2 linked regions of the Saccharomyces cerevisiae S288C genome follow. The gene in region 2 interacts genetically with the main gene of each other region. Each region holds a gene or a part of one and is shown on either strand. Other genes may lie near its edges.

The links.
Region 1: mutations in BCK1 (region 2) and GUP1 together harm fitness more than expected from each alone (negative genetic interaction), as found in Saccharomyces cerevisiae (5 studies listed by BioGRID).

What each region holds. Positions count from the first base shown.
Region 1 is NC_001139.9:350,116-354,295, forward strand, and holds GUP1 (O-acyltransferase), read right to left. Parts: upstream 2,184-4,180; coding exon 501-2,183; downstream 1-500. Other genes in the region: LCL3 (Lcl3p), read left to right, coding at 1-325; SCY1 (Scy1p), read left to right, coding at 2,943-4,180. UniProt on the Saccharomyces cerevisiae protein: Membrane-bound O-acyltransferase involved in the remodeling of glycosylphosphatidylinositol (GPI) anchors. Acts only on GPI-anchored proteins, but not on free GPI lipids.
Region 2 is NC_001142.9:244,750-252,897, reverse strand, and holds BCK1 (mitogen-activated protein kinase kinase kinase BCK1), read right to left. Parts: upstream 5,644-8,148; coding exon 1,207-5,643; downstream 1-1,206. Other genes in the region: KHA1 (Kha1p), read left to right, coding at 1-1,077; mitochondrial 54S ribosomal protein bL21m MRPL49, read right to left, coding at 5,923-6,408; enoyl-CoA hydratase PHS1, read right to left, coding at 6,654-7,307; SAP185 (Sap185p), read right to left, coding at 7,640-8,148. UniProt on the Saccharomyces cerevisiae protein: Serine/threonine protein kinase involved in a signal transduction pathway that plays a role in yeast cell morphogenesis and cell growth. This pathway seems to start by SMP3; then involve the kinase PKC1 that may act on this kinase.

The DNA of each region.
Region 1 (4,180 bases), on a different chromosome or scaffold from region 2:
TCAACCGTTTGGTAATGAAGCTTTAATTTGGTTACAAAACCGAATTTTGGGAAAGAAAGTATGGGTCAAGCCTTTATCTATAGATCAGTACAACCGTTGTGTAGCTCGAGTGTCATACTGGGACTGGTTTGGTGGGTGGAAAGACTTAAGCTTAGAAATGCTCAAGGATGGATTAGCGGTTGTTTATGAGGGTAAAGTAAACACAGAATTTGATGATAGAGAAGATAAGTATCGATATTATGAATTTTTGGCAAGATCTAGAAAAAAGGGACTGTGGATCCAGAATAAATTTGAAACGCCTGGTGAATATAAAAAACGTATTTGAGTTTTCGAGAGGATTTTTATCCATCATACTGCAGATTTTCATATTATATGTTCATTAGCTTTTCACGCTTCCTCTCGATATTTTTTTATTTATTTTCGGTTTCATTTTTGTACTAGTAGATAAAAATACATACATGATAGCAGTGTTATACAATTGATATTCGTAAATTTGGCATTCAGCATTTTAGGTAAATTCCGTGCCTCTTTTCTTCTTCTCTGATTTCAAACATTATTTGTACTGCGATGAATAAACTAACGCTTGCCAAAATTACAAATTTGAAACCAGATACGGTACAGAACATATCGCTTAGTAATTTTTTAGTACCGTCAGAGCCCAAGCAGAATCCAAAAAGATTAGCGATCATCATAACCCATATGTTGAAAACAGCACCGACAGCGCAAACGTGTCTGTACCAGACTGCGTCGGTATAATGAGAGAAAATTTGGGTAGCAAAAATTTCTGGTAAGAGGAACAAAACTATTAGCCAACCCCATAATAATAACTTTAGTTCGATGTCATGCCATATAGCTACGAAGGAAAAGACTGCTAGTGATGTCAAAACTCTATTTTTTGAACCACCTAGAGGAATATATATGTAACGGACAACCCACTTATTGTAGCTTCTATGCCAAGCTCTCCAGAATGCTAGTGAACTGTAATTGTTATCAACACACCTGATCATATTTTCAGGTGTATCGATTCCGTCTAGCAAAGCCCACAGCCTAAACAGCCTCCACGGAATCAGTAGTTTTAGCCAAATAATATTCAAATTAAATAAGCCAATCATGGAAATCTGGAAAGGTGTGTCATTTTCCCACGCTTTGGTTTTTGAGATTGCCACAACGTGGAGAAAGTGTAAAATGAACTCCATAGATAAGAGAGCAATAACGAATCTCACCGCATAGTAAAAAATGAATTTGAAATTTATTGATGGCAAGGTATGTTTCGATTGGTAAACATAATCATTGAATGTTATAATGGGGCCGGCAATGAAAAGTGGCGTGTAAGTAACATATGCAATATAATTCATTAAGCTGTAGTCCTGTATGGGGTGTGCAGCAGTTAATCTAGCACGTTCATTGAGCAAAATGGCTGATTTAGCTTCTTTTGATTCATAGGATGGACTTTTCTTCTTTTGTAAATTCTCCCACCTCTCTAAGAAGTCCAAGTTGTAACTTAAGACTCTCAAAAGAGTAAAATTGAAAAAGACATCCCATCTTGGAATGATACCTCTATACCAATGGTCCAATGGGCTTAAAAAAGAGCAAATATTACCAAATGGATATGCTCTGAAGTTGTCGTTAATAAAAAGCGTAGAAATACCATAAATCCAAATGCTGATGGTGGCTATTCTTCTAAAGTTCTTTAGTACATGGGCGATGGCATATAAAATTAGCATATGGGCTAAAATTCTTATCGAATTGACACCATGAGCGGCCACTAAAAAGATCAAACCAAATATCAGATCAAACCTCAATTTAGTGATATTTGTTGAATAAAGTACAATGCGTTTTATAGAAGTGTGGACTAGCATTAAAACTGACAATAGCGCAAAATTGTCCCTGAAAAACCTATATTGAGAATCACTATTGTCTACTTTTCTGCCAAATAACCAACCTTGAGATAGGAGACGTTCGTATCTTGCATAGTTTGGATTTTCGGGCGAACTAGCTTGTAACCCAGCATAGAACATCAAGGGAACCACGACCAGAAATGCAATGTAGTAGAATTTGAACTCAGTAGTTTTCCATAGTGATGGCTTAGTGGTAGTAGAGGCATCCTTTTTTGGTGAAGGTTTGATTCTTGAATCTAAGCCCTCGGAAGTAATTAGGGGAGACAGGATGCTGATCAGCGACATTTCTTGCAATTGTCTGTTAACAAATGCTGATTCACGCTTTGTTTTTGCCTTTGTATGATTAACATCTATATATCGAAAGCAATATGCTAAGTTATTATTCTTACCCTTTCAGTGTCCTTTTTGGCACACCCACTAAACATAAAGAGAAATACGTGAACACCTATACACCCTATATTATTTTGATTGTTCAACATTGCTTGATTCATCATCCATTCTCCAGCTCTCGAATCTTGTTTCTGGCTTTTCCAAGATTATGTGAAAATTAACTTACTCTTTTTGGTCGATAAATAATTACAAGTTCAAGTGCATGTCTAATTGGAAACTTATTTTTATGTCCGATTGAGCTGATGTTCAGCTAGTTTATGTTTATACAAGAAAAATGCTCACCCGTACATATGCTCCTTCTTCACTCATTTTCTTGTCCTGTTGTTGAGACATTCAACTTTGATCCTGCTCTTGTACTTTTATGATTCATTACTTATATATTGGTCTTCATTATTCTCGAGATGAAATTCTCAGGGTCTTTTAAAAAAAAAGTTTCAGTAGGAAAACTAAACGTAATTAAACTATTCTTCGGTTCGAACCTGAAGTTGCGTGAAAAAAAGGGTACTGCAGTCTTGAAAAAATAGAAGCCAAAAAGAAGTTAATATCAAAACAAATAAATCTTGCACATATTAAAGCGCACAAAAGTATTCAAAACAGTGTAACTTCGAATATCGTATCATTAAGGAAAATAGGACACACTTTGATTGAGCAGGGATGATGTTTTGGTCCTCAAAGACGGGTATCACGTCAAAATATTCATTTTCATCATCACCTACTTTCACAGCTGAACCATGGAGCATTTACACCGGTCGTCCCAAATCTTCATCTTCATCTTCACCTTCCAAAGTATCGATATTCATGTTTGACAAGAAGCAGTTCGAAAACTATTTGTTACACTATGGTATTATTAAATCCAAATCTGGATCCAGAGATAAAGTATTAATACAAGAAGCGTACGAAATATTAAGAAACCAGGCCAATAACTTGGCCAAGCTCAAGCACCCAAATATTCTGACTTTAATTGAACCATTAGAAGAACATAGCAAGAATTTCATGTTCGTCACCGAGTTTGTCACTAGCTCATTGGAGACCGTTTTCAGAGAAACCGATGATGAAGAGCAGAATTTCTTACAAGGTCATGTTAAAGATAATATCGTGGTACAGCGAGGTATATTGCAACTGGTAAATGCACTCGATTTTGTTCATAACCGCGCAAGCTTTGTACACTTGAACATTCAACCTAGGGCAATATTTATCAATGAAAATTCTGATTGGAAAATTTCCGGCTTAGGCTATTTAGTAAAAATACCACCAGGCACAAATACCTCTGAATACTTCTTACCTCAATATGATCCCAGAGTTCCCCCATTTATGCATTTACAATTGAATTATACGGCCCCAGAAATTGTTTTTGAGAATACCCTAACCTTTAAGAACGATTATTTTTCTTTAGGATTGTTGATATATTTTCTGTACACTGGTAAAGACTTGTTTCGCAGCGAAAATTCGACTAGTGAATATAAATTGGAGTACAACAAGTTTGAAAGCAAAATTAGTACAATGTCATGGGATAATATATTCAGTAAGGTTCCACAAAAGTTGAGGCATTGTATACCCAAGCTAATAAACAGAGACATCTATTCCAGATATGATAACATAACGTTGATTTTAGATTCTGAGTTTTTCCAAGATCCGTTAGTCAAAACCTTGAATTTTTTAGACGATTTACCTACCAAAAATAACGAAGAAAAATACGTATTCTTAGAGGGTCTCGTGAATCTGCTGCCAGAGTTTCCGCCAGCATTATTGCAAAAGAAGTTCTTGCCCATTTTATTGGAACTATTAAGTCAGTTTTGTGCTGAGAAGGTCGTAAGTGATAAATGTGTGGGTAAAAGTTTGGATTTGATAATCAAGATAGGGTCCACTTTATCTCAGTTGTCCTTTCAAGAGAA
Region 2 (8,148 bases):
AACGAAACCTCCTTGAGCAGAATGACAACAGCTACTGATTCCACATTGAAATCTAACACATTCAAAATAAAAAAGATGGTTCATATCTGGTCTAAAAGCGTTGACGATGTGGATACCAATTTAAGTGTTATAGATGAAAAATTGACCCCGTTTGAGGGAGTCGGTGCATTGAGGGCCATTCATTTACGATTGCTCACTGAACGGACAACTGATCTGCTGCAATCATCTTCTCTATATAATGATGATCCCCACTTTACCGCAAATACAGATTCACTATTACAAATTTTTGATATATTTTCAAACCTGAGCAAAATACCATTTTCAAGTGAAGTCATATTTTCTACAATGCGTGAAAAGGCAGCTAATATAGCGACGATGAAAATGGATTCCACAGATCTGATCTTATTGCCATTAAAAGGGGCCTCGTATGAGTATAGAGGGAGCCCAGTCTTCATTGATGAAAAATACGCAAACTTTGATCACATTTATTCTCATCTCCTAGGTCTGAATGAACTATCATCTACTTTCTTCAAGTCTATTTTCCAGTCACTCAAGGCAAATTTTGCCGTTCAAATTTCAAATACCTATGGCAGATTAAATGCTGATCGCTTTAAGAGGAAACGGTTCAATTTATTACTTCCAAAACCATACCTGACACAATCCGATTATCTTGGACTATATCTTCTCTTATTGATATGCTATAGAGATGGCTATAATAATGATAATGCATCCTGTAGTATATTTATTAACAGCAAGAATATTGATTTCGCAAAAGATTTGTCAACTGCATTTGCTGAGCATGACTGGCTAAACGAATCTACCATTAAAATTGTGGATATCCCCTTTGAAACGAAAGTTCCAGAAGAAGCAATTGAAAAGCCGTCCTTTATAGAGACTGTGCTTGATGTTGGTTTATCAGATACTGCTTTAGCTGATATAGAGGAGACTACCTTTATTATTGGAGAGGACCTTCCTGATGAAAGTGAGCCCTTCAGCGAAGAGGTGAGGACTGTAATATTTGAAGGGTCGAATCGTCGTTTTGACACCCTTATTGTGCACCATTTTTCGTCTGAATAAGTATCAGCAGAAATTTTTTAATTTTCTTTGTTCTTAATTTTCAGTCATTCCGTCATTCCGTCATCTATGTTTATTGTTCTATATTATTACGTATGCATAAATATCTTAAGTATAGATCGATCCTAATAGCTATTCAGTTTTATTCTCCTGAGAGGTTATCCTTAATTTTGAAGAGTTTAACTTATCATTTGACTTTATAAACTTCGCGAGTCTGGTAGATTTGAAATTGAATGTTTCATTTACTTCACTAAAAGGATGAGAAAGAAGCTCGTTAGCGGTTGGCCTTTTCTCTGGATTTATCTCGAAGCATGCGTCCAGAAAATTTCGTCCGATTTGCGATATCAATGGTAAAGTGTCCTCAGGAATTGGTGGTGCCGATTTTGACTTTCCAATTTTGAACATGGCTGCGACGACTTCTAAGTTGGACCACGGGCGCTTACCAGCAAACATTTCCAGAACGATGCATCCCAGAGACCATATATCAACTTTTGCACTGTAGCCTTGCTTTGTATCAACCATTTCAGGAGCCATCCAGAAGACTGTTCCTCGCATGGTCATATCCGAATTAGAGTATATGTCCTTTGATTTTCTTGAAATTCCGAAGTCACTGATTTTGCAGATACCATCTTGATCCAAAAGTAAGTTGTCTGCCTTCATATCCCTGTGGAGAATACCTTTCGAGTGTAGGTATGCCAATCCTTTTAATACTTGTGTTGTTAAATGTTTGATCAACGGTTCATCGAATCTTCCATACATTCTAATCAAGGATCCCACGGAGCCACCAGCAACATATTCTAAAAACAAACTGTAAATATTGTTTTTATTCTCAAAACCTAAGTATTGAACAATATTAAGATGATCTAAATCTTTTAACGTGGACACTTCAGATCTTAATGCTTCCACGGTACTTAGAATGGCTTCATTTTGTGAGCTATACTTGGGGACCTCAACCTGCTTAACGGCCATCATCTCACCTGTAGTAACGTTTAAACATAAATAAACAGCACCGAAAGATCCCTTCCCTATCATTTCACCCTTCATCCAGGCGAATTCCTTATACTCACCTTTCGAATTTTTGGCTTTATTAATTGACACCATATGGTTTTCGGTCACTTCGACCATTCTTGTACCCCACATTTTGGTGTTCTGTCTTTTTAGTTTTACAGAGTTTTTTCTTGCTAAACTAGCTTCATGTGCAATGGTTCTTATGGTTTTTGTTCTTTTAGGTGTCTTAGCTTGATTCAATGGTTTATTTTTACCGTTAAGTCCATCCTGTATGAACTCGTATGAGCTATCAGGAGGGACGGGACGGGAAGGAGTGCTTGGCTCAGTTCTCGATGAAGCCACATTCTTTGGTGAAAGTAGGCTGTCTAAGGATTTCGGAGATGTTGGTGAAGCTATTCCTTCAGTGATTGGCTTATCTAAGTTAGCCCTTGGGAAGAATTTCTCTAAATTTTGATAAACGACCTCCGGAGATGGTCTAAAGGTCATCTTTCTCTCCATTTTGTCCTGCGTTTGAGAATCATAGAATATTTCGTCAGAATGCGTAGAACTGTTATCGCTTTTCTCATCCTTTTTGTTTTCATTATTAGTCTCAGGAGCTGTTTTTTTCTTGGACCAGATAATGTCATCGGATGAACTAGAATCGTCATCACTATCATCGCTGTCAAACATCGGCGGAGCATCCGCGAATGTTATGTCATTCTCTTCAAATATATCGGCCGCAGATGTCGACGAAACAACTCTTTTTGAGTTACCTCTTTTTAACAATGGTGAAGGAGAATAGAAAATTGAATTTGAAGTCGATACAGTTGAATTTGAGCGATTCACTTTCTGTTTCATTTTCAAAGATGGGGAAGTACTCGTCGAGTCCTGGTCTGTTTTCAACCTACGCATAACATCGTTTGCACCCTTATAAGGTTGCGGTATCAAAACATGAGTCGAAGCAGGAGTATATGAGGAAGTAAGCGAATCAGGAGACGAGCTGCTAGCTTCTATAGGAGATGATAATAATTGTGGCGGCAATGGTTTCGATCTTTTGCTTCTCGAAATTTTTGTACTTGCCCTCACTAGGCGGATCGGTTTATTCTGTTTAGAAGTTGATAAGGTCCTCTGAGGAGAAGTATTTGCGGGAGGCTTGGGAGCTTCTCTTTTTGGTGCCAGTTCTGGTTTTGTATAAGGCGATTCCCTACGATGATTGAAATCAATTTCAGTCCCCTCATCTTTTCTTAGCACTTGAAAACTACTCTTGCTTTCATTTTCTGTTATGGGGGTAGGAATATTTAATTTACTTCCTTTATCTGGTAGGTTGAGTTCTAATTTTGGACTTGTTTTAAAAACCATTTTTGGTGCATTTTCCTCATGAGAAAGAACTTCTTTAATATTCCAATAATTCAATTCTTCAGTTGGATTAGTATTGGAAACTCTGTCATAGTAATAACTCGGGGTTTGGGGGTACCTGCGCCCACTTCCTGATGCATGTTCATCAAATGATGTTATGTCAGAAGACGAAGTGACAATGGAAACATCATCTGTCGATGCTATCAGACTGCTTGTTCCGGACCTCATTGAACTCTTACTTTTCACCGATTTTAAAGGAACATTGTTTTCTGAGGTGAGAGGAGCAGGTTTCGGTTTTTGTTGAAGCTTCATTTGGTCTTTGATATAAATTTTTCCAGAAGTGTTCAAAAACAAGCTTTTTTTCAAAAATTCCAAAGTATCATCTGGAATTGCAGCACCAATATCGCAATCAAAGTCTGTCATATGGAAAGTGACATTTTTGTGATTGATTCCCAATTTTGTGAGAGCAGATTCTTTGAAACTGGATAATTTTGCTACACTTTTTAAGTTTAGCGGAACAAAACTAACATTATCTTTGGTAACCAGAATATATTTATTCTCACTATCATTTAACCCTGTTTTCTTCAGAGGATAAAATTTTTGGTCCAGTAAAAAGTTCTTTACACTATACTTTTGATTATTTACCGGCACTGGAACTGTCTTGTCTGGATTAATACAATCAGGATACGTTTCTTTAAAAGACGCCGTGGTTGAAGAAATTTTAGGTGTATCTTCTGTGCTGATGACCTCCAAACTTCTGTTTGCAGTTTTGGGTATTGGCGGTGGTGATGAAGATGGAGATGGTATATTTACATCTGCCGTTTGTACGGTTAAGGTAGCAGTACTCGAATTCGATTTTAAGGATGGAGTTTCTTGAGACGTTACATAAGCTACCGTATTTGGGCTAGGAACCCCTATTTGGCTCTTTCTTTTGAATTTATTCCATAAATTACCTTTATCATCCGAAGTGGGTAGTGAAGATTGTTTTAAAGGTGAAGACACATTAGTTTCATAGTGTTTAGATTTTCCTTTAGCTAAATTTTCACTAGACAGACTATGACCTTGTGGATTAGGCTTTGTTGGAGCTTCCTCGCCTATTCCACTACCAAAAAGGGAATTTAATAATGACGACTCAGATGAACTACTTTTGTGATGTCTTCTAAATATGCTAGGATACGAAGGAGATGCAGGTGGGCTCGCCGATTTGGTAAGTGTACTGTTAGATTCAATAATTGAGTGCGGCCGAGCCGGTATACTTAACTTGATGTTTGAAGGTGATTTTGCTGAGGAAGCATTGCTCGATGATGAGCCTCTTAGGGATATAAAACTTCTTCTGTATAGTGAACTTGCGCTTTTGGTTTTTTGGTGTGTTGAAGTAGAATGTAAAAAATTCTTTTCATCGGTCTTGGAAGGGCCCGATTTTGTTGGGCTCAATGCAGATTCTGACGTTGATCTAGAATTTGAAATATCCTCTTGCGATTTACTATTTTTTAATTTTGATTTGATCGATTCGCTGGAAGACCTGGAACTTTTAAGTTTGCTAGCGCTCTTCTGACGAATATGGCTATTTGTTACGTTCTTGGTCATTGTTTTTTTCAATAACTGCTGAAACCTGGTATATGAAGCAGTTTTAGTCTGCGGCAAATACTTTTCATAAACAGCGAAATTATCATATGCAAGCAACTTTATAAATCTGTGACCAAACAATTGATGCTTTTTGAAAAACAATATCCAGGATTCTGGAAAATCATGAAATTTAAACCATGAGGTGACGCGATGCATTGTCCATTCATCAGGGTCTGTAGGATCCCACGATAGAATTAGCTTGTCAAAGGACAAACTATTTACGCTATTGCCACCGGAGGATTTCCTCGAATCAGAGAGGCTACTAGGTCCATTGTCATTTTTATAAGAACTGTTTGTAAAGCTCGTTGGGTTTTCAAGCGTTCCAGCTGAGATGTGGTCATCTGTCGTCCAATTAAAGGATTGTTCGATAACTGGCGTGCTTTCGTAAAACTGAGAAGAGGTAGAGTTGGGGGTTAGGTTGGGAAATTGGCTTCTAATATCATCATAAATGCTTTTGCGAGATGTTGCACGAGGGCTTTTGCTTGAACTTTTGGTTGATGCTACCGAACTAGTCGGCTGATGGCCGAATTTCACAGATGAGTTCGAATCAGACCTAGAATGTGTATGTGCTGTCCCCGCTATTTTCCTCAAAAAGGGCATTTGGAGGTGGAGTTGAACTATTTTAATACTATATTTAGTGTTTCGTACTAATGGTCACCCCTCTGCCCTTGTTTTTTTATTTTTTTTTTTGGTGAATCCATTACCTGATTTTATTATTATGCTTACTTTTAATTAACTTGTTGAAATTTCATAGCATTATAACTTAGAAGACGCGTCGGTCTGGAATTGAATGGCCATTGGGGCCGAAGAAAGTGTGTCAAATTTTATTGTTATTTACATGATTTTATACGTATGCGTATATGTACATATCCCTAAAATTCAGTTCATACTCAGTTCTGATATTCTTAAGATTGTCAAATCACCTTTACTCTTTGCATGACGGACCCGTCTATTTCTTCTCTTCGTTACCTCCCTAGTTTGGAAAGCCCTTTTAGTTTTCCCAACAACGGTTGCTTTTAAAGTATACAGAGAAGTATTGATTGGATGACCAACTAGCTTGTAGTTTCTAGATCCTAAAGTTGTTACATCGGTCATGTTTAAAATGTCACCCACCTCCGCTTGCTTCAATTTGAATGGAAGAATAACTCTGTCGCCCTCGGTCACCAAATATGGACGATTATGAATCTTGAATATTGCATATAGTTCATTTGATAATTTTAGTGGAGTTGTATCTGTCTTAGTAGTCTTAGCTTTTGTACTACTGATGCTTGAGGAAGTAGCTAAATTTCTGAATGGATGACTGGTAAATGGCCTATAAATAGGTGTGATTCTGGCCACTGGCCATATGAATTTCAGTTGTAGCATGAAAATTAGAGCAACACACTTAAGATTGTCTCGGCACAGTTGTTTCAGTAGGCTGTGAAGGTCGACTCCGAGTGAGCTTCGACATCTTTCTAAGAGTTCTCTAATTCGGCTACCCTTCGCAATTTTGCTCAATATAAAGCCCGTGCACCGCAAGATACTAGTGATTATGGTTAAGAGCGTTGAAGCCATTTCAATGTGAAGGCTAATATTCTTATAAAAAATACAGAAGAATTTATCTAAAGAATTCAAATTAGTTTCTTCCCGAAAGAGGATCTTAAACTTTTCATGACTTTCTTTCTCTGTGCTACCATGTGTAGGAAGAGCATTGGGAAGCCTGGGATATAAGCGAGCATGGCCGCTATTAAAATTCTTTTGTAAAGTAAAGAATACTGAGATTCAGCTGCATTTAAAGCACAGTAAATAATGCGTAGTTCGCTGGCAACACCAGTGGGGTACAAAATCCAGAACAAATTATATCTTAATAGAATTAAGATCTTTGGTGCGCCATTCTTGAATACCAACATGAAAAAATAATACAAGTATCTGACGATCTCAGTTATAGACCATGCCAGTAATAATGATATGTAAACAACTGATTGAACACCACTTGTGTTTGGCAACAATTGGAAGATGCCGAGGACAACTAGTAGTCTTGAAGACACTTGTGCAACAGTGGTCAGCAATGGGGAACGTACAACTCCTAAAAATGAGTTTATGATCTCGATTATAGCACCACATTGAACAAGGGTAGCGACATTTTTAGTTTGGTAGAAGAATGCTGGCTGTCCAACTTTTGGGTACAAGGAGATGACCAAGTAAAGCAAATAAGACCAACCAACAGCAGAAAGCAAATTATAAAGGGGTAAGAAGGACAATGGTGACGCAAGTTTTTTTGACATATTGTAGAAATTGCTTGGAGTTGTGCTTCTTCTTGTGTGATGATGAGTTATTTTGTATTTTGGATGCTCTTGATGGACCAATTCTGAGTTCGAATAAATTCAACAGAATTTCGAAAAAAAGTACACGAAAAAGAAAACGCCTTTTTCCTTTTTGAATACTAAACAATCGAAGTAAGTTATCAAACGGGCAAAGTCGCAATAAGGCACTAGACAGCATATGTAGTCCAAACGATTGTGAGTTAGGAAATACATGTGTTATTGTATAATTATTATTCTTATTATTATTGTTATTAATATTAGAATTATTAGAATTATTTAATTAGTATTATTTCCTAGTCCCTGTAATGCTCTGAATTAAATTTTACAACGCCCATTAATCGCGCCTGTTCTTCTTCATCCCATGATATCTTGTCCTTACTTTTGGATCTACACAATGCATATGCGGCGGAATCAGCATAATCCAAACTGTCTTCGTCTTCACAGTTATCATACTCTTCATCACTGTCATCGCTCAGTTCATCGTATTCATCTATGTCGTAGTCATGGCCTTCCGCGCTTAATATTTCGTCTTTATGACCTCCAAATTCATCGGTGGGGCTATGAAGTTCAAACTGGTGTTGAAACATAGGTGAATTCATGCCATTTTTTGATGGAGAAGCACGCTTGGGTATAGAATTAGAAGGTGATGACTCCCAGCCGTCACTAAGTTCATTGCTAAATTGAAATACACTTTCTTCCTTAGCATTAACTGTATTATTTGGTATTGTTTCAGATTTGCATGCATCCGTAAAACTTCGCTTAAGCTTCAATGGTATCTTATGATCGCGATTCACTTCACCTG